4 linked regions of the Styela clava genome follow. The protein of the gene in region 1 interacts with the protein of each later gene in a pairwise test. Links are inferred from orthologs where the notes say so. Each region holds a gene or a part of one and is shown in the gene's direction. Other genes may lie near its edges. The genes, in order: DNA repair and recombination protein RAD54-like, 26S proteasome non-ATPase regulatory subunit 7-like, elongation factor 2-like and DNA repair protein RAD51 homolog A.

The links.
Region 2: the proteins of DNA repair and recombination protein RAD54-like (region 1) and 26S proteasome non-ATPase regulatory subunit 7-like interact in a two-hybrid assay, tested with the Caenorhabditis elegans proteins (2 studies listed by BioGRID). The link is inferred for Styela clava from reciprocal best matches to the Caenorhabditis elegans genes rad-54.L and rpn-8.
Region 3: the proteins of DNA repair and recombination protein RAD54-like (region 1) and elongation factor 2-like interact in a two-hybrid assay, tested with the Caenorhabditis elegans proteins (2 studies listed by BioGRID). The link is inferred for Styela clava from reciprocal best matches to the Caenorhabditis elegans genes rad-54.L and eef-2.
Region 4: the proteins of DNA repair and recombination protein RAD54-like (region 1) and DNA repair protein RAD51 homolog A interact in a two-hybrid assay, tested with the Caenorhabditis elegans proteins (3 studies listed by BioGRID). The link is inferred for Styela clava from reciprocal best matches to the Caenorhabditis elegans genes rad-54.L and rad-51.

Annotation. Positions count from the first base shown.
Region 1 is NC_135251.1:11,749,023-11,756,771, forward strand, and holds the start of DNA repair and recombination protein RAD54-like, read left to right. Parts: upstream 1-4,739; 5' UTR 4,740-4,795; coding exon 4,796-5,293; intron 5,294-6,929; exon of another isoform or gene 6,930-7,488; intron 7,489-7,749.
Region 2 is NC_135263.1:4,084,211-4,091,969, forward strand, and holds the start of 26S proteasome non-ATPase regulatory subunit 7-like, read left to right. Parts: upstream 1-4,737; 5' UTR 4,738-4,769; coding exon 4,770-4,947; intron 4,948-5,624; coding exon 5,625-5,717; intron 5,718-6,076; coding exon 6,077-6,255; intron 6,256-6,932; coding exon 6,933-7,024; intron 7,025-7,759. Other genes in the region: leucine-rich melanocyte differentiation-associated protein-like, read right to left, coding at 1,240-1,914; DNA-directed RNA polymerase III subunit RPC7-like, read left to right, coding at 2,519-3,175.
Region 3 is NC_135257.1:16,652,952-16,660,736, reverse strand, and holds the start of elongation factor 2-like, read left to right. Parts: upstream 1-4,784; 5' UTR 4,785-4,933; coding exon 4,934-4,936; intron 4,937-6,158; coding exon 6,159-6,373; intron 6,374-7,785. UniProt on the Caenorhabditis elegans protein: Catalyzes the GTP-dependent ribosomal translocation step during translation elongation.
Region 4 is NC_135264.1:10,477,985-10,485,451, reverse strand, and holds the start of DNA repair protein RAD51 homolog A, read left to right. Parts: upstream 1-4,447; 5' UTR 4,448-4,571; coding exon 4,572-4,652; intron 4,653-4,978; coding exon 4,979-5,116; intron 5,117-5,645; coding exon 5,646-5,763; intron 5,764-5,844; coding exon 5,845-5,936; intron 5,937-7,467. Other genes in the region: nucleotide sugar transporter SLC35B4-like, read right to left, coding at 637-1,131, 1,725-1,892, 2,494-2,613, 2,870-2,972, 3,299-3,412, 3,752-3,831.

The DNA of each region.
Region 1 (7,749 bases):
TGTAATGAATAACAATTATAGCTCATGCGGGTCTCAGAATACAGTTTTGGTTGCATTAGAAAAAGTTTTCTTGTTTTAAGCCGTTTAAATACCTTACCTTAACTATTCCTTATTAATTACATTTATACTATATATCAATCTTCCTTGTCGTGCTATGAAAATTGTGAAATTCCATAATTTTCCGCTTATGCTAATTCTGACGGAATAAGGTATTTTCAGCGATGGACTATACAGAAATGCAATTTCTTTTTCTTTCAAATAAACCTTGTCCCTCTTGAAACGTCAGCAAGACTTGAATTTTGATTTTACCCATTTTCGTTGCATATGGGGAGTCAGTCCCCTTGTATCAAATTCTCGAGTCGTATCTTGGTGGAATTAAGATTAAATTTTATTTTACATTTTTCTCTTCCTAATTTCTAATTGAACATATTATTTGTGCTTGTTGTAATCGTGTTAAATTCTTGCAAGAAATCAATACATTTCCCTTTATGTGCTGTTGTTTTCTTATGCAAAAAGTGTTATTTAGAAATAAGCTTCATTTGAAATCGGTGATCCATCCTCATGTCTTGCAGACTAGCGTAGATCGAACGGTGTATGTGCATGATGAAGTTTATTCTCAATATGATAATCTAGTATGAAAAGTTAATCAAAATTCATAAAATTTGATATATTTACTATTGAAGTTTGAAGTGGAACAGAACCTTTCACAACTCATTCAGTAAAGACAAGAAACGGCGCGTAAGGAAGCCAACTTGAATAATCTTTGACATTTGGTCACCGGGTGCGGGCGTATTTTTAGTCGGCTATGGATCTGTGTTAACCATTTAGAAAAATAAGCACGTGTTCTAGGCACCAGGTGGAAGGGGGCACCACAGAAATTAGTACTCATGTAGTATGTGAACCAAGATGGCTGACATCGGAACGTAGTATGTGTACACGTACGTAGTATGTGTTTCCATAGTCGAACTTTTAATGGCCCCTCAGTGTTTTATGAAATGATTCGAGTTGATCTGACGACCTAATATTGGCCAGCTTAAAATAAATTTCTGCTTATTTCTTATTTACAAGTATCATCTTATGATGACGTTGACGCTTTTCAAAAGTATTGAAACTACGGACAAATGCTATTCAAATATTACTGTGTCCATTACTGTTAAAAAGCGTCAGTCGTTATACGTTTAAATAGTATTTCGCACTAACTTCTCTTCTTTTCTTTTTCATTCGTATTTCGTGTAAAACTGACTTTTTATCTGGTTGGGAAAAATGATCTTTACTTGATGGCATTATATGGACACATAAATTATACTTAACATCAATTGATGGAAAATCAACTGTGAATCTGTAAACTAATTTTGATGTGTGCTTGAAAATGGCGTAGCGTGTGTGCACTATTTTGAGATATTTTGTTTAGATCAGTGGTTCTCAACCTTTTTCAGTTCGTGGACCGGTAAAATTTCAAAATAAATTTTGCGGACCGGCGGACCAAAAATTGTCATGAACACAAAACATAATCAAAAAAATGCAATTACGACATAAATAGTAGGTACAAAAGAAGACAATTCAATTTAACGAGAAATTTGCTGCTGTCTCTTTGATATTATACGTGTTAAACGCGGTTCTAATGAGGTTTCTACATTGCGAAGTAGAGCGTTGACTTCCACACGATTTTTTTTTTAATTTTATTTGTGTGTATTATTTATGGGAAATTGAAATAAACTTACTTACCTACAATTCGATTTGTTGCGACTCCAAACACGTGATTAATCTGAATTAATGCATTAGTTACTAAATGAAGCTAGACTGAAGTCAGTGGTGATCAACGACTAACATACCAGTGGTGATAGCATATAATTCTCACTGGGACGAGCGAAAAGGTCAGTAAATAGGGTCAACGGCGGTCAGTGAGTGTGTCACTTCGGTTAGCGACTCCGGTTTTGTATTGCACAACGCTCAGCGCGAAACATGAATATGTTCGAATTATTTGGGTTTCTGGGATAGTTGGAAGCGGTAGACTCAGAGAGTATGTTAAGTCTCTTTGGTGTGTGTCCAACGACTGAACGAGGCGCATGTCCTGATTATTCGATAATATAATACCGATAATTTTTTTTTTTTAACAATCATTTTATTGTTATGCTGATTATGGAGTCGAAATAAACTTATAACTTACTTATAATATCTAATTTGTGTTTTTTCAGTATCAGAAAAAATAACGTCAGCGTATTCAGACTTAATACTGTAATATGACTGTATGATGTGTGGCAAGTACCGTTATTTTTATTTTTTCTAATATTATTATTTTTGTTATCTATACAATTTATGGAATTGCTGTACGTTTTAAGGCTGATCTAAAGTTCTGTTTGCTCTCCTGATTTGTATGTATGCTTATTTGCCTAAAAAATTTAACCATAGCCTATCTGCATACCGTAACTTACTGCAGTACTGACCCAAACATAATGATATTCGGGTCTCGTGTAGTTTCGTACCTAACGTAGACTACTTCTAGTAGGCGTAGCATAACAATTTTTTGACATGCCAATCCTAACCCTCACCTGACTACGCCATCCAAAAATTACGTGACTACGACGTCACAATCACATCATAGAGCTTGCCAAATACTCCTACGATCGCCCGAAATGGCATCGGCGCCGACGATATAGAACTGACTATATAGCGACGAGAAAACGTGAGAAATGGCTGCTCAATTTCGGGTTCTCGTCTGCGCGTCTTGGATGACAGTTCGCATAGTTCAGTAGTTAGATGGGCTCTATTACGTCACTGTGATGTCGTAGTGACGTAACTTTTGGATGGTGTGGTCAGGTGGGGGTTAGGATTGACACATGAAAAAATTGTTATGCTACGCCTCCTAGAAGTACGTTAGGTACGAAACTACATGAGACCCTCGTATTCCAGTACTCAGTTTTTATTTAACTTGTTTTATCAATCATTTTATTGGCGCATGTTCATTTGCATATGTTATTCCTAACCCCCACCCAGTCTGGATTTCATGGCCTTTTTGAACGAGAAATCGGGCGTGCAATCAGAAATTCCCGCGTGCAAATAAGAATTCCTGGCGTGCAATTATAGCTCACGACGTGCAAAACAACTGCACTCGCGTGCAACTGACTTTGACATCGTCATCAGATACCTCTCAATACATCCGCGTAAAATTACCGGTATCGGATAAAAAACACGTTGAATCAGAGAAAAAATGGACGTTTGACCTTTGACCCCAAACATTATTTCTACAGTTTGTCGCTAATTTTGAGAGTGTTTGTGCGACTTTGGATACCGGTACTGTTCAGTACATCCGCGTAAAATTATTGGATAAAAAATACGTTGAACAAGAGCAAAATGGACATACTTTGTCATTAATTTTGGTAGTGTTTTTACGTAGAATTAATGGATAAAAAATACATCAAATTAGAGCAAAATGGACGTTTGACCTTTGACCCCAAACATTATTTTCATACTTTGTCACTAATTTTGGGAGTGTTTGAGCAACTTTAGATACCGGTACTGTTCAGTACATTCGTGTAAAATTATTGTATGAAAAATACGCTGAATCAGAGCCGTACTTGGCCATTGGTGCGGAGGCGATCTTTTCGTCCATAACTATTCTCACGGGATTCCTATTTCCTATCATTCAACACGATATGGACCTTTCCCCGAGCATCGACTTCCTTGTTTACTTCGTGACATTGGCCAATCAGCAAGATGCAAAAAAGGACGTAACAATGAGAGGAATTTTTCGCGGGTCAAAGGTTGGGGAAAGGTCCATGGTCTTTTTGCTTCGCAATATTTCGATCAGACCAAATCTTGCAAGCTGGTATTTGTCGACAATTGTGGAGGTATAATATTTTGGCATCTTTATATTACTGGATTATTGATTTTAAAACCATTTAAACTGATTTACATTGGTGAGCAATTGCAAATTTTCGGCGTGCAAAATTGATTTCGCTCGCGTGCATTTTTGCGGAGCGCTAGCGCCCTCGGGCGTGCACCTGCCATGGAATCCAGTCTGGACCCCCACCAGACTACCTCATCCAAAAATTATGTCACTACAACATTACAATCACGCCATAGACAGATAGCCTAGAGCTTGCCAAAGAATAGCTACGATGGCATGAAATGGCATTTCCGCCCACGAAACTAACCGGCTTAACTCAGAGATCTTTCACACATCGGGATCGTTACGACGAGAGAGCGAGAGAAATAGCTTGCTTGATTTTGGGTGATCGTCTGCACGTTTTAGATGACAAGCCGTATAATTTTATGGACCTTGTTTCGTCACTGTGACGTTGTAGTGACGTAATATTTTGATGACGTGGTTCTGTAGTCAGGTGGGGGTTAGAAATGACATATGCCAAAATGGTCAACATACAGGGTAGGATATCTACCCAAACTTACCGGAACGAACCTGTAGATATCTTCTAAAAGTCATTTATTATACCTCCAGGCCATTTTCCAGTTAAAACAGCAAACTTGTGGCAATAATATGTTTTTTCGATTACCGAAATCGACCCTAAATAACTGAAACGGAGCAGAATTTCCGCGTATACCTACCATCGCGACAAATGTCTGAATGCCGGTTTTCAAAACCAGCCATACTGGATATCATTTTGTCACGATTCAAATCAAATTGTCTTGTCATCTCTCTGCGGTCATTTTTTATCCTTCAGGTTTTTAATCATTTTTCAGACATGATCAATACTGCAATATCAGTTTTATGCGAGTTCTGGAGATTTTTTTTTCTTTTTTACAACATAGGTCTAAGTGTATAAATCTAGTTAAAAGAATGAGACGGAGTTTTGCACCAAGTCGATTAGTAAAGCAAGAAGTTGAATATTCAGATGAAAATAATAAGTCAACATTGACTAAACGGAAAAGTGAAAATGTACCAAACCAACAACCTTGTTTTAAATGTACACGAAGCCCAATGGCATCTTCAACACTTAAACTATATCGATCGCCTTTTCGTGACCCTTTAGGAACCTTGTCAGTTAATTCGAATTGCAATGATGTCAGCACGTTTCCAGATGCAAATTCACATGAATCTTTTATCAGAGGAATTCTTTCTAAACCCTTCAAAATTCCGATACCCAACTACAAAGGACCAACATTGGGAGGTAAACTTGGACTAAAAAGGCAGTTGCTTCGAAAACCATTACATGACCCATTCGATGAGAACGCTTTAGTATTATTCGAACCACCTGAACTTTCGCCACACGAAGCCTTGAAAGCTGACAAGACCAAGCTTAAAGTGCATGTGGTTGTTGATCCTGTACTTTCAAAAGTAAGTATAGAAAAATATTGTATTTGTGTGGCACACATCTTAGATGTACAAAATGACATTGGATAGGATCTCTTTGATTGTAAATTAAAGTTGACAAGATCCCTCAATCATAATGTTAATCACTCGCAGGCCTATGACAGTTTGGAGTCAAACTTTGACTTGCTTTTATTGATATTGGTGCCAGGGTCCTATCTCCAATATTCCTTTTTCTCATGTCTCTAATTGGTGTCATTATTCTTGCATCAGGCTAAAATTTGGAGAGGGAGTGGTCACTTTTTTGTGGCTTTGGGGCCAGGCCACTGAAATGGGGCCAGGCCACGGAGAAATTGGGGCCAGGCCACGGAGAAATTGGGGCCGGGCCACGGAGAAATCGGGGCCAGGCCAGGCCAGGCCATGGTGCTATGCAGTAATACGGAGCCACACTCAAATTCTGGTATGAAAAGGTGATTAGTCCTATTTTTTGTTTGTTTAACAGGTTAATGATGATCTTGAAGGTACAGGCAAACCTAATTAGTGAAAAGAATACGCTTGAATCACATTTAACCGAGAATTTATTGCCTGGAAATACAGGATAGAAAATGGAGCCACAGACTAGAGCAGTTCAGTAATATGGAGCCACACTCAAATTCGTTTTGAGAAGTGGATTAGTCTTATTTTTTGTGTGTTTAACAGGTTAGTGATGATCTTGAAGGTCCAGGCAAACCTAATTAGTGAAAAGAATACGCTTGAATCACCTTTAACCGAGAATTTATTGCCTGGAAATACAGGATAGAAAATGGAGCCACAGACTAGAGCAGTTCAGTAATATGGAGCCACACTCAAATTCGTTTTGAGAAGTGGATTAGTCTTATTTTTTGTGTGTTTAACAGGTTAGTAATGATCTTGAAGGTACAGGCAAACCTTATTAGTGAAAAGAATACGCTTGAATCACATTTAACCGAGAATTTATTGCCTGGAAATACAGGATAGAAAATGGAGCCACAGACTAGAGCAGTTCAGTAATATGGAGCCACACTCAAATTCGTTTTGAGAAGTGGATTAGTCTTATTTTTTGTGTGTTTAACAGGTTAGTGATGATCTTGAAGGTCCAGGCAAACCTAATTAGTGAAAAGAATACGCTTGAATCACCTTTAACCGAGAATTTATTGCCTGGAAATACAGGATAGAAAATGGAGCCACAGACTAGAGCAGTTCAGTAATATGGAGCCACACTCAAATTCGTTTTGAGAAGTGGATTAGTCTTATTTTTTGTGTGTTTAACAGGTTAGTAATGATCTTGAAGGTACAGGCAAACCTTATTAGTGAAAAGAATGCGCTTGAATCACATTTAACCGAGAATTTATTGCCTGGAAATACAGGATAGAAAATGGAGCCACAGACTTGAGCAGTTCAGTAATATGGAGCCACACTCAAATTCTGTTATGAGGTGTGGATTAGTCTTATTTTTTGTGTGTTTAACAGGTTAGTAATGATCTTGAAGGTACAGGCAAACCTTATTAGTGAAAAGAATGCGCTTGAATCACATTTAACCGAGAATTTATTGCCTGGAAATACAGGATAGAAAATGGAGCCACAGACTTGAGCAGTTCAGTAATATGGAGCCACACTCAAATTCTGTTATGAGGTGTGGATTAGTCTTATTTTTTGTGTGTTTAACAGGTTAGTGATGATCTTGAAGGTACAGGCAAACCTTATTAGTGAAAAGAATTCGCTTGAATCACATTTAACCGAGGTTCATATATAGGTTATAATATATATATATAGGTTCATAGTTTGTATATTTGAAAATCTCGTAATTCTCTACTTTTTAAGTTTGTTTTTAATAAATAAAAATATAAGATATCCCCCGAAAATAAGCCCTAGTGTTATTTTTCGGAAGAAAATTGAAATGAGACCCAGTCTTATTTTTGGGGAAATATGGTATATCTGTATATGGAGCCATACTTGATTTCTGTTATGGAGATGATTTTGTATTTTTTTTTTCATGGTTTTCAACAGGTTAGTAAAGATCTTCAAGTTACAGGTAACCATAATAGTATGAAATCATGTTTGACTGTCTGAAAAGTAAATACTTTGAAATTTGTTGCCGGGAAGTGCAGTTTAAAAAGTGGATTCATACAGCGAGGTGATTCGGGGACGCAATGTCTGAATGTTGTCGGAAGTGGAATAGTCATAGTTTTTATTTCATATAACAGGTTTGTAATGATGGTTAAGTTACTTTACAACAATAGTACCATAAGATTTGTTTCACTTTTTGGGGAATTATTGTTTTTTGTTCAGTATATATGCTGATATGAGTAATGATCGCAGTGAAACAGATACTATACGATAACTGAGGAATGTATACAAGAATTAGGCTGTAAGAAGCTGGTATCATATCAATTTGATCATAGATTATGAATATGAAAGCTAATTTGTAGTTTACATTTACCAGGTTGGGAAAAATATTTCAAGCT
Region 2 (7,759 bases), on another chromosome or scaffold:
TGAAATTCTGCAACAGTAATGGCGTGAACTGAATAGAATTTGATATAAATTTGATTTGTCACTATGGAAAATAACTTGAGAAAACAATAATTCCATTATTTATTTGAAATTTATTTAACTGACATCCCTGTTTACTACCAAGAAGATATTAATTAAGTGATCATATTCGAACTTACGCCCAGCCTTTTTTAAGACACCACCTTGTTCTCAGGAAGATGTAAACTTGGGCCCAATATTGTACTCTTGAGTGGCTCATGTGCTGGGGCCTTGCACACAACAAAAATCTTGTAGTAGTCCTAAATGAATACTCCCGTAGTGTGTGTACCAGGTTAGGGTTAGGCCATAATGTTACTTCGATTTTTCTTGTTTTAGTTTTATTCCGGGCTGTCTGTTAGCCACGTGAATATACCCCCTGCCCATAGTAATCAGTCCCTTTACTCAACTTGATGAAAGTAGGCTAACAAAATTAGTTACCTCCATATTGGTGCACACACTCCTTGAGCGCCCTCAATGAAATAATGCTTTATGCTGTTCTATGCATATGGTAGAGGAAGTGGATAACTCTGTCGTTTTCCAATACCTTTGAATGGGTGTGATGGTCAAGTTGAAACCCCATTCCTACCTACCGTACACTGAGGTTGTAATAAGGCCTTGCCAGAATAGCAAGATCCCAGTCCTTATTTAAATATAGCTCCCTTGTATCATAATCGGTAGCTTCTTTTGCATAGTCTTGTTCGAAGTAAACTCATGAAAATAACCCCTTTCTCTGCCCTGATATACTGTAAATGCTTTCAGCCCTGCCTTGATTGTTACCAAACATTTTTGTAAATTACAATGTATTGCTTGTTAAAATAAAATGAATTTCATAAAAAATATTTGTAATATTATAACACATAGGAACACGCTTTAAATGAGAAACATGTTGTCTGCCTCTGATAGGACATTTGCGCTTTATCCATTACACAATGTTGAGTAGATCAGAGACACAATGTTAAATCGTTTTGCTAAATTCTTGCTGTCGTAGTTGGAAAAAAAAATCACTGCTATCAGAAATCATTGGATATCAAATTCTTTCAGAAATAAATATAGGGAAATTTGCAGGGCGCTCAAATAGCATTTGAGCATCTTGAAATTGAGCATTTGATCAGGGTGACACGCGAAAAAGTATTTGATGTTGATGAAATATAAGGTTCAACGCCTTTTTATTCGAACTCTTAGCCTATGAGACGTTTTTATCTGTCAAAGGTTGTTGTTTCTGATAAACCTGTTGCCCTCGGATTGCTTCCCGATATAAGTATAACGCACTTTTCCTGCGGCTGCTCTAGGTGTTGGTGGGGAAAGCTGTTCGTTTTCAGTTGTGAATTTAACATCAAATTCTTCGAAGGTAGTTGCTTCTAAAGCAGAAGGATGATCTCCCCTTTCCTCCTCTGCTACCGCTTGCCAGTCTATGATTTCTAGTTTCGGTAAATATGTTGCGATATAACGTCGCACTTCCGCATAATCTTCATCAGTATATCCTAGTAATGGATGTCTGCAGGCAGCGTTTCCGAGTAAACTCAAGTATGTTAAGTTCTTGCATTTTTGTTTAAGTTGTGCCACCAATTTTTCGAGATTAGTTAGTTGGTTTTTATTTAACGAAAGTGTCTGTAAAGTGTTCATTTCCGGAAACTCGGTTTCGTCGTCGATTTCATTGTTATCTAAATTCAACTCTTGCAGATGGACGAACTTCGATAAATCATTGATATTTTTGAGCTTATTATGGCTCAGGTCGATGCACACAGCTAGGCGGGTATACCTCAATAAATGTTGTGGAAAATTCTCACAATCATTTCCGCTATAACATAACCTATTTCCTGTAATCGCCACTTCGTCGACGTCCTCCGATATATCTATATCTTCATATATAGCCTCCATTCCATATACCTCAGTGTGATGCCATACTGCTTTGTCCGGTCCGCATACAAATATAAAGTCTTGTGACAAATACCGTATTGCAGTAATGCATGTTTGTCACAAGTTAATGTACAACTACGAACCTACGATAACACGCATATGCATCTGTGACGATTAAGTGACTAGCTTGTCCAGTGCCTGAACAGATCCGGAATAGAGGTCGTGGTTGGTTCTTCATATGATCTGATCGTCTAATCGGATTCCTCTCTCTATGATTGTACAGAGAAAAAAATTCTAGTTAAAGCATTTTCCACGATCTCTGAATATGCATTCAAATCTACATACCGCAAATTTGATGCGCGGGATTAAAATTTTTACATCGGCATGTTTGTTTTGTTTTTCTTGAAAAATTAAAATTTCTTAATTTATTGATTTGCTTTTATTTCTCCTTTTTCGCTTTATCCCAAAAAATAATTTGGCGATCCCAGTCATGCGTGAAAATCGTGAACAGGCAAATAAATAAAATGCTGATTCATGAATAAGAGCTGATTTGGAATCTAGCTCTTACTTTATCGAGATAGTTTTTCGTCAATTTTCATTGTTTATTTGACATTTTCATTCAAATATGTCGAAAGGTAGAGGAAGAGGGCGAGGATCGGGTCTTTCTTTTAATATTGAAGCCATAGGATTTGGTAGAGGCGATGCGTTGCCGACGTCTTTGCTTCAACCACCTCCTGATTATCCCCCATTGAAAAAGCGACCTGTACCGCTTTTGACAGGGGAAGATCAAGACTATTTACTTGCCTTGCAAAAAAACTTTGAAAAGACAATGCGGGATTCACCATATTATATTAAAAAACAAGAAGAAAAAAACTTTCTAGACAGATATTCAGATAAATATCGAATTAGCAATCATTCAGATAACGAACTAGGTTGGGAACCAGATTGGAGTCGATTCCCGGCAGAATTAAAAATTGAAATGAAAAGAAAACGTAAAGCAAGCAAAAAAATTGCACCAAAATTAGTCGAGAAGAAAAAAGCGGAGTCTGTTAACGAAGAGGAGGTCAAGAAAAAGCTCGATGAGCTTGAGAAGAAAGATCAAAATCCAGAAGCGCAAAAGGCAGGAGACGCAAACGATACTGAGTCAGAAGTCGAACTTGAAATTGACGAGGTTGATGAAGATGAAGGAAATGATTATTTAACTTCGTACTTTGATAATGGAGAATCTTATCTTGATGAGGAAGAAGATACATTAGATGATAAGGACGGAGGAATCTATTGATTAGTCAAATTTTTCTTTTGAATGAAGTACTCTGAAACAGTGAACTTACCCGAAAATAATGGAAATTGATCTCGAAGCGACTACCAAAGTGTGAAGAGGTGTCAAAGTGGTACTAATTTATCATAGCATCTTGTTCCACTGACTTGATCATCGGAAATAGATTGTTCCTTGTTTTCCAGGTAGTGAGCAGGCAGAGTTGGAATAAATAATAAGATGAATGTATGGGTGTGATTGGGATTTCTAGATAATATAAAAACATTTTTGGGATTTTGTTGATGTTTTAAAAGGAATGTTGAGTAGAATTTTCCAAGCTGAACTTCGTAATCAAGTTCACCAAAAGTATTTTTGCTCTTTATTCAAAAATCAATGAATTTGAATTTTTTGTGCAGTTAAATAATGGTTTATGCTTTTAATGAAGATAAAACTTCATTTATTGTGATTCACCTTACTCTTTCATGTTTATCTGAAGGCCAATCTGTTTTATATTAATCAATTGCTCTTCATCACGATAAGAGAAATACTAAAGAATGAAATAATTCTAGCTGATCAGTTTTCATTGATTTTCAATACAGGGGGAAACCGAATGAAACTATAATAGACTAAACAAACCAGAGATGCACAACCCAAATGAGGATATGTGCCATATTTTTCAAAATAATCTTGTCGTGTGCCAGGCACAATCGTTGGTATTGTAATCAAACTCATGTAAAACACACATAAAACAAATTTGAATCATAATACATAATTCTGAATGACTGCTCATTTGAAGACGTTCTTGTTTCGAAGTGCAAGTGAATATAATATATTCGAGTCATACAGTAGTCTCTTTGGTGTGAATGAATATGCCGATTTAGATTTTTACGACATAAACACACCTTATTACCATCATCGATATGCGGAAAATCACGTTTCACCTATTGGTACTTAACTGCTCGCTACTGTAGGCTTGCCTAACTATTTATTTTCAGCTACTACCTTGCAATTTGTAGATAAACATGACCATTCCAGTGTCTTTCGATATAAACATGATTTTTTTTATGTATATCATGAATATTTTTTTGTTTTTACAAAATCGTTCGTTTTCTATGTTCAAGGGTATGCCGTGCCATATTTGGCACGCGTGCTTCATGTTGTGCACCCCTGGACTAAACTATAATTTAAGATATGTTCCTTTCAATGGATTGTCATATAAAGAATTATTTCTAATGCTCAGTTCATTATTATGTATCGCATTTATTTAGAATATTTATTTATTATTTTGGTATATATTGTTCATTAGAATAGTAGCAAAAGTTGACTGTCAACTTGAAATAAGTAAAATAAAATTGTTCCATCTATCTTACTTTTCTCCCAAATGGGTTAACTTTTTTTTTCGGGTATTTTCTCAAAGCAGAGTCATACTCATTTTGTTGTAAGGAGACGAATTCTTGAAAGAAGTTACAGGCAGGCACTGAAATTTCAAGAGCTATTAAAAGTGAAACTAGAATTATGGTGGTACTTTACGCATCAGTAAATACGAATATATTTATTGCAAATATGAAATTATTTTTGAATTACAGCTTTTAAAATTACTTAGACATAATATTTTAACAAAATGTCTGCGATTCCAATGGATCATGTTGTGGTTCATCCACTCGTACTTCTGAGTGTTGTTGATCATTTCAATAGAATGGGAAAGGTAGGAAGTCAAAGCAGAGTTGTTGGGGTTTTACTTGGTCAATGGAAAACAATCGATGGAAAGAAAATTTTAGATGTTTCTAATAGTTTTGCAGGTAAGTCTATTCCTATTTTGTAATGTGTTCTCTTTTAATGAGGCAGTAGTCAAGCAGGTAAATCAACAACCAAGACTGCTATAGCTATTGCTATACTCATTTTTGGGGGCTCCCGAAGTATGCGAACCAAGATGGCGGATATCGGAATGTAATATGTGTACTAGGTTAGGGTTAGGCCATAATTTTAGGTATAAATACTGCGGGAGGCTCTTGGCTAGTCTTCGAACTGATAAGAGGACTAGAATAAGGAAAATTGGAAAAAAATTATCGTGCAACCCTAACCTGTTACCCATGTTACGTTCCGATGTCCGCCATCTTGGTTCGCATACTTCGGGAGCACCCATTTTTGAATATAGGGTATATTTGAATGCATTGAAAAAATAACTCTATGGGTATCTCAGCAGGGAATAGATTTACCCTTTCTGGTTGATTTGATCTGCATGTCGGAAAATAATTGCAAGTTTGAAAATACGTGGCCAAATGTGGCTGTTGATTACATAGAAGAAAACAAAGTATTCTCTTGCGTAATTGATGTGTATTATGCTCTTGCTGTGGAGAGAGCTAGCCCTTTTTAAAAATTTTAGTTTTAAAATTGTACATGGGTTAAACCAGAAAAAGAAGGTTTAGAACCCCTGTATTTATACTTATGTCATTTGAAACATTATTTTGATTTTTAGTTCCATTTGATGAAGATGTCAGAGACAGAGAAGTTTGGTTTCTCGATCACGATTATTTGGAACAAATGTACAGCATGTTCAAGAAAGTTAATGGTAAATGCAATATTAATACAACATCTTATGCAACACTTTATTGGCGTGATTCTTTGTGCCCTGAAAAACAATTTTGACAGCCATTATACAGAGCCAATGAGCTCGTCTTTGCCTGACCTAACTTTCTGATTAACGCTAGACGAGTTGAGGTGTTTAAGGGGCTGCAAATATTTGGGATCGAATTTGTGAACCTACGCAGGGTAATCAGATATGCGGTGTATATACATTGATGTATGTGTTGCATATACATTCCGAATAGTAAGTTATCCGGTCTTGGCTATCTCTGTATACAACTCATACTATACATTATTATTATATATTAAATTATATATTGAATACTTTTGAATCTTCCTTTTCAGCTCGCGAAAGAATCATAGGATGGTATCATACAGGACCAAAGCTATGTCCTAACGATATTGCAATTAATGAATTGATAAAACGATACAATTCTAACGCAGTACTCGTGGTTATTGACGCAAAACCTAAAGAACTTGGACTTCCAACTGAAGCTTACATCTCTGTTGAAGAGATTCATGATGTATGTATAAAAGTAACTATAAATATATTTTCAGGTTTGGATTGTTGATGAGCGCTAGACGCTTCCAGTCACTATTTTTGTTTTTATCTTTGGCCTTCCTCGCTGCCTTGGTTTCTTTCACATTCTCTGCCTTTCTGGTAGTTTTTTCTTGGCGACTCTATCAGCAACGGTCTTTTACATGTAACAGACTGCTATATATTGTCATACATATTGTGGCGCTTTAGAAGTGTGTGTACCAATATGGAGGTAACTCATTTTGTTCGCCTATTTTACATCAAGTTGTATAAAGGGACTGAAACCTATGGACAGGGGTAATATTCATTTGGCAAACACAGGTGGTCCCCGAACTTGTAATAGAACCAAAATAAGCAAAATCAGAATAAAATTATGGCCCAACTTAACCTGGTACACACACTACGGGAGTACCCATATTGTTACTTCCAATTTCCTCACTTTCATTCCGCACAAAGCTCCAGACAAGCGATCACTAATATGCAAGATGGAGCTACTATTTCCAGAAGGTGCAGAATCTTTCTGATTTGATATTGTATAATTTGTTTCACACTAGGTAATACCTTGGTCCTGGAATCATAAATGCACAATGTCAAAATCAAATCTTTCAATGACCCTCAAATTAATCTATACTTTAATCATATTTAACTTTCATTTATCCACAGGATGGCACCCCCACTTCACGTACATTTGAGCATGTCCCAAGTGAGATCGGAGCTGAAGAAGCTGAAGAAGTAGGAGTTGAACATTTACTCAGGTATGTGCCGGTTCTGGGCGGTTTTTAGTGACACTGATGGTCTGCACCAGGGGTATGCAACCTTTAATGCAGAAGGGCCAGATAAAAATGACTGGGTGAAACTGCAGGCCACGCTTTTATTCAACATAGGCTTTCTAGTAGTTGCACGTACAAAAAATCGGTTAACTTGTTGATGTTATCAAATGTGTTGTTCGCTTCGCACAAGCTCAGGTATAATAGGCCCCTGATCTACACAAAAAGCCAGTATTGAACTGATATTTCTAACATTTGATGTCAACATAGAAGGTTGTGCATAAACATTTTTACTATATCTTCAGTACAAGCATAACGCCAATAAGAATGCTTATTGCTTTTTTATTATTTCGTACACTCGTTAGTTATTGAAATGTGTCTTGAGGTGGGAGCTTTGTTTTCCCTGATATTAAACCAAAAGTTTTATTTTCATACTTGTTATATACAATCATCATTCATAGAGTTTACGCGAGACTAACTCCCAATTCTTCCTCAATGCCTTCGCGCTAGTGGATCCCCATGCATATAATGCAAGGATGCTGTAGCGGAGATAAAAATACCATACTATGCAATCCAAGAGTCCTGCTGCACACTAACAAATATGTATTCCTGTAATCTTTCGTCTGACCAAAATCAGACTTCTTCAGACAAACAGTTTACAACAACGACCAATTGTTGAACTCATTCTTGTAAACTGCTTGTCTAAGGACGTCAGACGAAACG
Region 3 (7,785 bases), on another chromosome or scaffold:
GTTTTTTATGGTTAATTTTTAAATTCTATTAAGTTGTATGATTTCCATTTCTTTCTTTGTTAGCCTGAATCACATTAATATTTCAACAACGAAAAAATTGACCTACGCCATACTCACCGTGATCCAATCTTGTCTCATTATCATAGATCTCTTTTAAATAACCAAATGAATTTGCTTCTGTTGAATTCTAATTTATTGACTAGTTCAGGTTATATTTATATAACTCTTGATCTTATCAGTATCTCGATTTTATTCTAATTTTTTTTCCAAATTGGAATTTGTTCATGAAAATTTTTAGGTACTTCCACGTTCAAAAATATGCTAAATCTGAAAAAGGTTCTTTCTTGTTTTCGATTCGGTATGCTATTTATAACTTGCCCCGTGCATTTTTATATTAGCAATATTGCCGTGTCATACTGCATATTAGTCTTGCTGCGGGTTTTTATCCTCTTCACTAAAGAGCTAACCTGTACCATTTGATTGAATTAAGAGTATTCAAGACATAATCACACATTTATAAAATCTTTTTGGACACGTTAGTGGACATAACGATCGTTTCAATATTATGTTGTTGTTCTCTGACACTTTTTGGACACCTAGTGGAAAACCTAAAAAGTCGCTTTTCTCTTTGATTACTGAACCAATTGTTTTGAAATTTTTAGTGGTTAAAGATGAAATTTTTCTTCAGAAGGCTATTACTTTTATTTATTCTAAATATTTCTGTTAGCTCTGTGAGATTTGTTTTTGTTTGCTATGAAGTCACCGAACGTTCTGCGGACGCATATGCTGGCACTCCTCTTCATGTTCTTTTGATCACGTACCATCGAACGTCGGTGGTTCGTAACGAAATCATTGCTTTGCTAATATTTGAGGAAAGGTGAATGGCGAATAGTGCCGTACTTGGTGTTATATAACAGTAGTGACTCGTATCGTTGGTGTTACTACAGTCTCGGACCAGCTTGCAATTTCAATTCACGCTGTCACAAGACAGGAACTTTTAAAGATAGAGCAGTTCCGGTACCGTAACACAGCGCGGTGATACTGAACTAACTCGTAACTGTCTCGTAAAAGCGTGGCTTGCAGTCACTGTTATACCTGAAGTCTTTGAATGTTGGTGCTTTTCTTGGGATGGTAAACGTGTTCATATATTTGAGCATAGCTCGCTTGTTCTGAACAACGATCAGTTTTGATTCGAAGTACTCATCTTCCTTGTTAAACGGCTCATTTAATTATTATATAGCTGGTAACCCATGGTTAATTTCCCTCACATAAAAGGCTTGGCTAACGATTCAATTCTATGTTAATAGTTTGTAACTGGTGTCTCCTGCGTGTTATTCCCTCAAGTTAATACTGAAGGCAAAGTCTGATATTGTTTTGCTCAAATCTTGATGTTGTCGGGGTGACTGTGGTTGTTCGAAATATTAACTTTTTTTTGCAACTAGTTGGCTAATCAATTTCAAATCTTCAGAACTTTGTAAAAAGAAAGAAGTTGCTGGTTCAGGAGTCGGCAACCTTTTGTCGCTCGCGTGCCAAAATTAAGGGTTGCAAGTCTTGGCGGGCCGCATAATTTTTCGAAAGTTAACAAGAACGGATGGCTGACTTAGTCCTCTTACTTGAAGAAAAAAATTTACAAATGACATTTAATATCACTCTTTTTTTCTGGCGGCACACTGGATGAAGCCAGGATTAAAACAATTTCTGAATGGGAATCATTAATCCGAGTTCTCAGCTTGTTCTTTGTAATGTTCATTTTCGAAAATAATTTTTTGCACGCATATGTACTTCTAAACATCGATGTGGACTTTTGTCAAATTTGGATAGTTAGAAAGTTAGATTCAGAAAGTTTCATTCACCCTTTGCACTTGCATCGAATATGAAGAATATGATATTATAAAAAATATAATCGTCAAAATAGCCGTTTTGTTACTATAATTCAGTGAAGCATCGCTGGCCGGATTATTTTACTCCACGCTGGATCTGGCCCGCGGGACATAATTTGCCGCCCCCTGCTATACTGGGACGGTATGTTAGTCGTTGACTGGAACTGATTATTTCACCCTAATTTTGGCCCCAACTATTCTGACATGCTCGATCGCGTGAACTTGTTCGCCAACATCTTTTCAGCAAACTCGATGTTTTCAGCCTTTGCGGTACCAGTATCGATGCGCAACCATCATCTCTTTATTTGAGCATAGTTTTCTTTTTTTCATATGTATTAGCGAGAATACAGGTCTCTTGCATGCTTGCATCTGTCACGGACGAAGATGTTGCTACCGTGGTTGTAGATGAATCAAAGACTCAAGGGTTCCGGATTGGTTGTTTATTGTACGGCAACTTCAGAATATCAAACTTGAAACATATAAACTGATTACATCACTAAAGAACTAAAAACACGACCGACCTCCAGCCCGAAGAACGGAGAAAAGAGAGCGAATGACATAGTTTTCCTCTCACGTGTAGTGATTAGTCGGAGTCCAGATCCGACAAAACAGCATTGAATAAGGGTCAATACAACATGAAATATATATATACACAATATAAACGCGGACGTTATGGTCCGCGACACATCTCATGTACACATGAATCTTCCGCAATCATATTTTTATTACGGTAATTGTAACAAATTAGGCTATTTAATTATTTATTTAATGTGTTTTCAACGCAATAAGCTATCTACAACAATACTACATATTGCATAATATGGTACTCGCAGTATGTGTACCAGGTTAGGGTTAGGTCATAATTTCAGGTACAAATACTACGGGAGTCACTTGGCTAGTCCCCAAACTCGTGATAGAACTAAAATTGGAATGAAATTATGACCTACCTAACCCTAATCTGGTACACATACTACGTCCCGGTGTCCGCCATCTTGGTTCTTATACTTCGGAAGTACCCTTTGATGAACCATGGGCGAGCATATCAGTTCCCAATGTCTAAGATAATATTGACGGATCCAAGCATGGTTTAGTTTTAATATTGTTACATTCTTTTGTGCAAATAAATCTGCATTATAAAAAATGTAAGCGCAAGATTAGTGGGACTAAAGCTCTAAGTGTAAAGAAAATGTTGACGGAATAGTATCTAATCTGTTGTCCGCGGGTATAATTTGTTGACGTCAGCATAGTTCTTCCCTCCCCATTCAGTCTCTGATGTTTCGAATTTTACAAGACTTCCCACTAAAAAGTTGTTGAAAATACAAGAGATTGGTGCGCTTTATGCTCATTTGAAAATTGATTCAATATCATAGCCAATGGAAACGAATAAAAAACGCAGGTTTAACACTCAACTTTGACATCTTTGTCTGTTTGGGAAAAGTGTGTGCAGATTCTCGAGTCAATACCTAATTGCGTTGTACAATCAAAGCGTTTGATTCAGCGACGCGCAGTGGCGTGTCCAGGTCAGACCAAATTTGGATAGAATTTACACATTTATCCCGTGTGAGAAGAAAGCCGATATGGCGAATCATGGCCTCTCGTCCGGTTACCATTCCATGTCGAGTATGGGATTAGTTAGTTATTCGTTTTCGGAAGCATGGACTTGATAAAAGAGGATGCCGTAATCGACCAGTGGTTACGTGAACCACCCTATTATAATTACTTTTGGTGATTAGTAGTATTTAATTTAATCTAGAATCTAATCTGGCTATATTCTAGCTATGGTGAATGAAGTGATCTAGTCTAGAGTCTAGTCCACCTTTTCATGCATCCAACTTGGCAATTCCTTTCGGGAATTTGGCGTTAGGAGACTCCAACTATAATCAACTTGGCGATATCGTTTTAGGAACATTGTTTTATACATTTCATTCCTGTTAACCAATTCGGTATCCAATTTCAAAATTCATACAAATCTATCAATATGGTTGGGCGAAATTTATTTTATTTGTATAAATATATTCTTTTTTACCAAGTAATATATTTTTTTTACTCTTTTTCCTAGTTTTTTTTTGTCTACTTGATTTAATACGTGAACAGACTGCCATTCCGGCTAAACTTTACTAACTAAAATAGGTCTTTCTTTAGCGCCAAACACGGTATGTTGTGGTCCCGGTATTCTGTTATCCTATAATAATAAGAAACACGAGCAGTTGGAGCGCATATTTCACAGACCACAACGCGTTGGCAGAATGGCATGGTATGGTGAGAAAGATGCCAGCAGAAACACCACGACCATGAAAATTTCAATGAACGATTATCAAAAATCTTGACTGTGTCTATCATGATAAAAATATCAAAAAGTATATAAAATATATTCTATCCCCAAAACTGCATACGTCTACAATGAAAGATAACTAGAAAATTACAAAAAATGCAAATTTTTGCTCTGGTGATCACATTCCCCATGAGAGCTAATGTTAAAATCGTTTTTGGTTCGTTTTTTGTTCATGCCACTTTCGTTTTTCGCGCGTTGGATGGTTTTCGAATTAATAAGGTCTAATAACCTGATACTTTTGGGTGAGCGAACACGTACCACTTATTTTGGCATCACCTTTTAATCTGAAATATGTACGTTTTATTTAAACCATGCTCAAGGGTTTGTTCGTTTTTCCGATTCTGTAATCAGTTTATTTATTTTGTTTTTATCAATTATTTCATCGCCTTTATGCTGATTTATGAAGTCAAAATAAACTTATACTCATATATGGGGATATTCCAGAATGAGAATTTTTTTTGCTTCATTATTATTATTATCATTTTACTTATTATATCATGACTGTTTGATCTGATCGACAAATAATATCTCTTCCTCTCTTATTTCATCCGTGTAGGGACGCAATAATTACTGTTGGATTTCGCAATATTGTTTCGTGGTGCTATGACGTAATAGGTTGGCGTTACAGCTTTGTCATTTCATAACGTTCCTTTCCCAAGCCCTTCAGTTCGAGGGTTGATTTTTTTACGCGGAGTGAAGAAACGAAGTCAAAACATCCAAAATGGTGAGTTTATCTTCCCTTTTTTATGTAATTTTGAGCTATCATGTGTCTGTCGATATATTTCGCGCAATATGAACGAATAATATGGCTTGTTGAGCGTGATTTAAGTGGATATAACTCTTGCGAAGGTAGCCTATAACCTGAACGGGAAGAACCCACTTTTCAATTTAGACAGAAAAATCTGACATCCAGTCTATGTAGCGATCTACGTATTTTTTATTTATTTTGTAAATGCCAGTCCTTTGCTATATTATGTAAAAACAGGGTAGATATCTAAATCTTCAATCAGTCAGTGGCAATGGTGACTGGTAACAAAATAATAAAGATTGTTTTATATGATTCAACACCATTTGAGGTTGGAGGTTGACTCTCCGATATTGACACTGAAATGTCATACTTCAATATAATAGTATTAGTAATTTGGGCTCAGCAGTGTGGCGCATCGCGGTCTTACTACTTACTGAATAGAGAGCGAAACAGCGCAGAAGAGAGGGAAAGAGCGCAAAACAGCGCAGAAGAGATGGAAACTTTTTTCTTTCATTATTTATTAGCGTCTATGAAATTTTAAACAATTTGATGGGAGGCAACATACAGTAGTAGGGAATGATCACAAGTTTACACAGTATGTGTACCAGGTTAGGGTGCGTCATGAAGTATGTGCACCAAGATGGCGCACAACCTGAACACAGTATGTGTACCAGGTTAGGGTGCATCATGTTTGGTTATTTAAAGATGTTGAAGATTACTGACATAAACTCGTGATCATTCCCTACCACTGTATACCGTTTCCCATCAAATTGTTTAAAATTTCACGGATGCTAATAAATAATGAAAGTAAAATGTTTCTATCCATTCTGCGCTGTTTCGTGTTCTATTCAGTAAGTAGTAAGACCCGGCGCATCGTGCTACTGTGCTAAGCGTTGGGAATACACTCACCCAGTCATCACCACCAGACCACCCCTCTGATACCCTTTGTGGGTTTGGCGGTTTAAATCCTGGGAGGATAAAATGTGCAAGAGGATTGCTGGACGCCTCGCCGTCTTAGGGTAGTATATGTATGTGTATTTTTACCTTTGTGAGTGTCTTTTTTAATATAAACTGTCGGATTAGGATTATATACTTGATTTGGAAAAATCAGGTTGTTCAAAAGGGCTCACTAAATAGCTTGGTGGCCTGTTGCACGCTTTTGCTGTAGACTGATGTTAAACATAATTTTTATTTTTAGGTGAACTTCACAGTCGATCAGATCCGTGAGATCATGGACAAAAAAGCCAATATTCGGAACATGTCTGTTATTGCTCATGTAGATCATGGTAAATCTACATTAACAGACTCCCTTGTTAGCAAAGCTGGTATCATTGCTGGTGCGAAAGCTGGAGAAACTCGTTTTACAGATACGAGAAAGGATGAGCAGGAGAGATGCATTACAATCAAGTCAACGTAAGTGAGCTTTAAAACAAATACATTTCTCAATATACAGTAGGGCACAATTCCAAGATCCATGAAAAAAATTAGTCCTGCAAATGACTGGATGATAAGTCAATCATGACATATGTTGGCTGTCACATGACCAAAATTTCCATTCCTCCAGACTGATTTTTGCTAAAAAAATTCAAATACTGTAAATTTTTTTTGCCTTGCGTAAATTCAGATTATTTTTTTGGGGGGAATCCATGGGAATGTTTCTAGATTGTGCGTCCTTAATAGTTTATTAGGCAGTACCGGTTTGGTGTTATGGAGACTTAGATTGTGTGTCCTTATTACAGTACGGCACACTATACAAATCGGGTGACATTTTCCCGTTTCAGAGAAACCATTTTACAGATGATCAGACACCCCTCCTTTGGGAGACGTCTGGAATTGTTGTCCCTCAATATCAGTAATAATACAGTATAATGAAGTTGCGCAATATACTACAAAAAAGCGCAATCTAGTAACGTCGTCATTGAATTCCTTGGGAAAAAATAATCAGATTTACCGAAGGAAAAAATTTTTACCGTAGCTTTCGGAAGTTTTTAGCAAAAAACAGCAATTTTGGTCATGTGACTGCTGCGATCAATTTATATTATTATTGAGACAAGCATGGCGCGATATGAAGCATCTGCCGAGGTCCCAGACGCCCCGCGTTTGTGAGACACATAGAGTGTTTGTTTTATTGAGCCTAATGGAGGGAAATTCTTAAAATTTGGATAGTGTGCTGTACTGTAATAGTTTATTAGGCAGTACCGGTTTGGTGTTATAAAGACTCCACATCATCTCGGTTTGCATTCATTATTATAATTGATGTCTTTTAACCTGTTTTAGACGCCCAATCGAGCCCAATTTTGAATACCCATTTTTATTAATGTCATACGTGATACGACCCCCAAAATTCACCCAATATACAATAATTATATACCATTGGAAAGGTATTTTAGAGTACTATACGCTAGATGTCACTGGAGGACCGTAAACTAAAACACCTCTTTCAAGAGGTCTCTCGTAACGTCAAAAAATAACAAAAATATTTACACTCTCTCATTCTATCAGCTGTTGGACGTCTATAGCTATTGTAAAGCTGAAATGTGACTATACAGTTGACTGCACATTGGTTTTCTCTTTCATATGATACTAAACGCTTTTCCATAGCGCGCGTCGTTCAATCGTTTTGGAAATTTTCCGTTTGAGAAGTCACCACATCGAATCAGGCCAGGCTAAGCTTGATAGATCGATCGGTTGTTTGATTGTGCTTTATCGCGTTGAAAGCTTTTGTGAGTCATAATAAAACATTTATTATGAATCATAAAAGCTTATAATCGTCAGACAAGGAGAATTTGCGAGATAAAACGCCTAACTTTTTTTCGGTGAGGCAG
Region 4 (7,467 bases), on another chromosome or scaffold:
AAATGGGCCACCTGTTGCATACCCTGGTATAAAACATTCCACCAAGGCGGGTCAGTTAAATTTGCCTAGAGGGCCGACCTTGATAAGATATTCCTGTTATATAGTGAACATCTCTTGTGCAATATTATTTTAAAGAACGTTACTGACTAACAAAAGAAGTTAATAAAATGTAGATTGAAAACTATACATATTAAATTATCTCCATGTGAATACATAGGCTAATAATAATGAATTTCTCATCCTAGTGGGAAGCCATTATCAAACCAGGCATGATACAATAAATATATCACATAAAATATACCATATAATACATTGATTAATTCAATTGACTGTATATACAATCCTTTTAATTCAAAGAGACAATTACATTGGCAGACTAGCATAAGCACAGTGCTTTATGACATGATAATAATATTAAAAACAAAAATATGTACAAATAATAAAATGGCTTCAGCTTTGCTTCGTTAGAATTATTTCCACATTAGGGTATCTTCGTATTATAGTTAAGAGCAGAAAGTAAAAATAATAATAATTTCTAGGTAATCACATAAGTAGAAATTTTCTAACACAAATATAACTGTGTTGATAAGCATAATGAACAGATAAGGCATCATTGGCATTGGTTTAATACAAGATTCAATCCACCTTTGTATGACCGTTTTTGTGATACCCATTACTAATACCATTTTTCGATGTTTTGCTGTTATTAAACGTGGTTACAGTAGAAGATTTTATTCTAAAAATATCCGAATACATTAAACTGCCAGCGAAAACGAATGATGTCCCTATCCAATGATAAAAAGTAAAATCATTCTGAAAATACAGCACTGAAAACAGCAACGATATGAACTTACGTAGGGTTATCAGCAGCGTAACCGTTAGCGAAGTGCATTCAGTAACGAGATAAAATACGGAACGAATGCAAAAGTATTGCGTCACAACATTGATGATGACGTATTGCCACAAAATTGGAATTTCTAAATTCATTTGAAAAGATAAAACTGACTCTGAAACAGTGTTCAGAAAGTTTGTAAAAAATGGCACCGGCTCAAGAGGTGATTGATTGAATATTTCTAAATTCCGCGCAATGCTTGGTACGAGTAGCAGGAAGAATGGTAACGGTAGAGCATGCTGTGAAAATAATTTATTTTCTGTTAATAAAACATAATGAAGATAGCAGTAATACAATATATATACATGATCTCTCTTTTATTTTAGTATTTATCATGGAAAAATACGAGTCTCATTTCAAAATGTGCAAGAGATCAATACTCAAATAAATACACATTGTTGCACATCAGTACCGGTACTTTAGGGCTTGAGATCACAGAGTTTGCTGAAAAGATCCGCGGTCAAACTTATGGAGGAAGTCAAACAAAGCAGAGTGAAACAGCAAAAAAAAAGTAAAAGCCTTCAAGCAATTTCTTTCATTATTATTAAATATAGAAAATGTGGTAAAGGCATTTTTGTCCCCAGCAACAACAATAATTTAGCAAACAATCCATATGTAGACTTCTGAGAATAACGAACAGTGGTGTTCCATATATTGTCAAAGGTCAAATAAGTTGGTGAACTCAAACTAGGCATGTTTGTTTCTTAGGAATTATGATAAAAAAATATCCATCAGATATTGGCACCTACGTTCATTATTTGACCGACCTCATTATTAATTAAGATTATGTCCAACAACTATTAATCAATAACTCAGTAATCGTATCACTTACATTGTAAAACAAAGTTTCTCTTGGATGTTTCCCATATTTGATTGCGATACTTTCTTGATAAATTCCCATTCCAGCAGATACAATGAGTGAAATTGTCAAAAATATGACTCCAATTAATGTAGAAGCATCAGTTGAATGACTAGACATTGTGGTGGCCTTTGAAACACTCTTAGATATAATGTCAACATTAGCAATACTTATAAAGATATGAAATTTATGTTTAGTATATAAAAAATCATATTTCAAATTGATGTACCGGAAATCCAATGATTGTCAATCATTTTGTCGGCTACACACTTCATTCAGTTATAGAAAACTTTATTTTAAAATTTGAATTTCCATTAAACTTGAAAATAGCCAATACGTATCTCAAATTATGGTAATGAAGAAATCAAAATAACAAAATAAAATCATAGCGTACAGATAACGTAATTACAAAAATGATACACGCTACATACAACTAGGTAGGCTATATTCGTAGCAAAAAAAGAGAGAAATACTCAATATTTGGGACAGTATTGAGGTCTGTGTAGGATTCATGAAAATGTCAAAAAAAGTATGGTGATAGCCATCTTAAAGTGTTGAAAATTTAAAATATCGATTGGTCTGCTAGAATCAGAGACAAACAACTACATTGAGTAAAACAATTTATAGGCCGGGCCTCGTACATGTCCAAGTCCAATAATCCAAAAAAGAGCTGCAGTTGGTCAATGCTAATTATAGTCGAGCAATATTATTCAAGCATTCAATCTTCATAAACATAACTTACTGTAACATAAGTGCAAATCAATATACCCAGTGACACAAATGCAACTGAAAGGTATTTTTGAGATGAGTACGACCTCTTCAATAAGAAAGCACCAAGAAACATGTTCGCTACAAGAGAACCCTGAGAGAAAAAAAATATAAAAAATTGTATAGACTGTCCATATAGTGGATGGAGCCATAACTGACCAGACGTTTCAATAATCGCTTTTTAATGGAAGGAACTTCATAAATCTATGTATGTATATGTTCGTGCCTAAGAATTAGAAACTTATCTTTTAGCAACTTAGAAACTTTATGGGCGGTAATGTAAATATGATGCACACTACTCGCTTGATAACAATAGAAAGAATAATAATTATCATATTTGTTATACTTACAGATTTAAAAATCATATGAAGAGGCATTGGTATATTGAAACCTAATGCCATATTATTAGTAGCACTGGCTGTGAAGAACAGTAGAACCATGACAACATAGTTTCTAAATATAAGACAAATTGAATTATTTTCTGTTACAATTAAAATTTGTTTTTTTGGGGTGCTTCTATATACAGATATATGTCTCTGGATAAGACTGTGATCAAGTAGTATGAAGCCATTAAAGTTTAAAAAAATGCTTGTAAAATTACATTTTATATAGGAGGCAATTACTTGAGACTTTTTTCTTGTTTTGAGAATATACACCATATAAGTAAAATCATGACGACAAAGTAGAGTTTAGCTATAACTTTTTTTTTTTATCGATAGGCCTATTTGATTCTGTCTTTCTTTACTTTGCACAATAAGAAAAGCAAAAAAGCCACATACTTTAAAGGAACATGTCTAGTTTCCCATCCGAACTTCCGATTAGCAATAAAACCTTCTATAGCAATAAAGGAAAATTGAAGAAAAAGCAGGATATTTCCACTATCAGGTGAAGCTCTGAAAAATGAAAGTTAAATTTCAGTGAATTCTTATTTAAATAAAATACAAAGTTTGAGTTAAAAGCTGTGTAACTTAGCCAGATAACACAAAGGGAAATCAAAGCTCTGGCTGCTTTAGCACAGAAAGATGTGATATATATAAAAGTATGCCATAGGCAATGTTACAGAAAAGAAAGATTAGACCAAACTATAAAACTTCAAACAGTAAGTACAAACAGAATACTACAATCATAAATACAGATTCATCCAAGCATAAAATTCACCATACTGCCATACCTGCATACCGGTACACAATATCAAAATTCAATAACTCTAGCCAAAAAAGTTATACACTCACTTTATCAGGTGTTCAAGAAAAATTACATTTGTACAACACGAGGCAAGAAGAACTCCAACGGCAAAATACATTTCGAACATGACGAGTGAAGAAGTGATAGGCTACAGTAATATAAAACGAAAGATATTCCGTGCTCCTAAATTTGTAACAATTAGCTATGTTTATATATGTTTTTATTATCAACTACATGCTGTTCTGCGAAGAAAAATACATTGTTATAGCTGTCTGAACGCTGGTACAATATAAAAATCTCGCGAAATACAACTGGACACGTAAACTTCCGGCGTCGAAACTCGTCTGAACAACGAGACGGTCTGGCACGAAATAATAAATATCGAAACTGTACGTCATAGTTCTTGATACTGGCATCCTCGGGGAAAATTTATTATGAATTACGTAAAAAAAGACGTTTTGTTGAAAACCGCCAATAAAAAAAATGATAAATATGTTATGTTGTTCATTATTATAATGTTTTATAAATATTTTATATAAAAGAAAAGTACTTCCCTACGGCGTTTGCTACATTACTTTTACAATACTCGAAATATCTCACAATTGTAAAAAAAAACTTACACATATGAACACCGTTTTTTTGTGTGACTATTTGGTCTGTCTATGTTAAATCAAACTAAAGGACTGTACAAGTTATATTTAAACGTTGTTTTTTCTTAAGTTTACGAAAAGTTTGGTCAAAATAATTGTTATGGTTCAGTGGATCTAAAGCGCGAGATTTGTTTTGGTAAATCGTCTCGTCTTATTTTAGTATTTCTGTATTCTGAGATATCGCAGGCGTCGTTCGCAAACCTTTATTTCAGTAAATATGGCAATGCAAGTACACGAACAACAGGAAGATGCCGAAGAAGAGGAGGTTATGGGCCCACTTCCCATCGCAAAATTAGAGGTAAGTTGAGTTAATTACCGTAAATCAAGAAATTTTCATATTGTTCTATTCGCAAATACTGGCAAGCCCTGAATTCGAGAGAAAAAAAACAGAAATAGGTTAAATAGCAAATTTAACAAGAAAATTAATGGCTTTTGACTTTTCAACTATTCTATATCAGAAATGTCGGAGAAAATCGTTTTTTAAAATCAATTCTTAAATTATGATTTTATCAATACTGCATTATCTGGATACCGGTAAAGGTACTTTATAAAATTAAAATAGGCCTATCATAAATTGAGATTACACAACCGCATACCACATTATGCAAAATCTATCTCTTTTAGCAATGTGGAATAAGTGCAAGTGATATAAGGAAACTTTCAGAAAATGGATACCATTCTGTGGAAGCACTTGCTTATGCTACGAAGAAGGAACTTGTTGGAGTAAAAGGAATAAGTGAAGCAAAAGCTGAGAAATTAACGGTAAAATTTATTAAAGGACATTGAAATTCTATTATGTGTCAAATATTTATGTGGAAATCACTCTGACGTTGAAAAAGTGAAAATTAAATAATATGACAACGATTTTATTTGTTTATTTTTATCAATAAGTCTATCATATAACATTACGGCACAGTTCTCTGATTTCAAGAATAGCTCCCACATTGAAAGACATTAAATATAAGAGTGAATGCAAACCCCTCTTTCATGAGACAGTCTGGGCCTCCATACTGGCACAAATTGGCAAACCGGTATTGTGCAATAAACCAGAAGGAAGCACAATCTTCAATCTATATCTAAAAAAAACACAATTTTGATCATGTGACATTGATTTAAATTATTATTGAAACAAGCATGGCGAATTCTGGCACATCTGTCGTCGATCAAGACACCCTTATTTCAGATTAACCAATTGTTAACCAATCAGCGAATTGTGCCCTACTGTATTCTACATGAAACATTACAAGATCTTCTTTGACCCTGATCATGAAATCTTTATATATTTTTTTAGCTTGAAGCAGCGAAATTAGTGCCGATGGGTTTTACAACTGCGACAGAATTTCATCAAAGGAGATCGGAAATAATCCAAGTTACTACAGGATCAAAAGAATTAGATAAGTTATTACAAGGTATATCAAAAAAACTTTTGTACAGAGATTTGTTCGACACGAAGTCGTGAGTCTCGTCTAAAAAGTGTTTCTTATTTTTAGGTGGAATTGAGACTGGATCGATAACAGAACTCTTCGGAGAATTCAGAACAGGAAAATCACAAATTTGTCACACAATTGCTGTTACATGCCAGGTCTGAATCTATATTGCGGAAACTTTTTTTTTTTAATGTCTTCTTTGAACTATAATAAGTTGTATTTTATTTAATAGTAATACACAATTCAACTAGCGTGAGTTTTTAGTACAGTTTTATTCCATTTTTCTCATTTTAGTCGCACTTTTATCTACCGTAACTAGGGCTGTCCAAAATCGAATAATTTTTTGATTCGAATCGAATATTTTCGCCGAATCGAACCGAATAATCGAATATTATTGCCCAATAGTAAATCTGTCTCTATTATACAATAAACGCCTGCCCTTCGATGTTGTGGTAACGTATGTGCAGTTACATCAAAGGAGATCACACGCTTGTATGAACTGGTCAAAAAAATTGGAGAACTCCAAAATTTGGGTCTCGAAAACTGTTGAGTGTTAAGAGTAAAAATTGCACTATTCAAAAATTGCAATCTCAATTTTGATGGATTCAGTTTTAGTAGGACATATAAAGCTTGTAGATGCTATTTTAATCCTATTCACTAGTCTTTATGTTTTTTTGTGTAAATTTCAGCAAAATAATAACAACCATCAATATAGATAAAACTGTTGCTCAAGTTCAAAATTGCATTTAAAAATTCCAAGCTAGTTTGATGACAATATTATTTGAGGACTATAATATTGTTAGTGTACAACAGCCATCAAAATGCAAGAGTGCAATTATTTGTCTTGGTATATAGATGGATAATACAGTAATGCCATCATGAGAAATTACAAATTCCATTTAAATAAGGTATTGCCATCATAAGGATCCCAAAACACCTGTTTCAGCTTTGAGTTGCCTGTACCATGTTCCTATGATAACTAACTCAACAGCTTCAAATCGATTCTATTTATAGAACTATCGTTTTCTAAATTGTCTCCTTTTTCTCCTTGTTCTCTCTCAAAAACGTCACGATCGACTATACCTTGTTATGATGACCACGCATGAAATGGCTAATCACGTGCCACCGGGCGGGCATTAGTAATGACATGTTTATCACAAAATGAAGGCGAGAAAAATATCGGGAAACCAATTAAGCAAGCCGGGAGCGAGAGTGGTCTGAGCTCGGATCGCCGCCGCTTGCCCGATGAAAAACATCCCGTAAAGGTGGTTTCCGCTTTATGTACCGGTACCTAATTTTAGCGATTCGAAAATTAGCCGAAAAACGATTCGAATAATTTGCGATTCGATTCTATTTCGAATATTTGGTTCGCTTGGACAGCCCTAACCGTAACAAATAAAAGTTACCTATTTCCATGTAACAAAAATTATTATAGAATAAGTTAGTGTATTCTAATTTTAAAAATGATAGCGAAAAATGCAGAATGTTGTTATACTTATACCCATCACAAGTTTTTCTCAGCTTTTTCTGAAGTCTGCTTTTGTCATATTCACCTAGTTTAACAATCCGTATACCCTTGCTGAATAAAGATCCAATTGTTTATCCAAAATATCGCTCCCCTCTCAACATGTAAAAGAATATTTTTGTTGAAGTTTTTTAATTTTTGGACATGAAGTTGACATATGG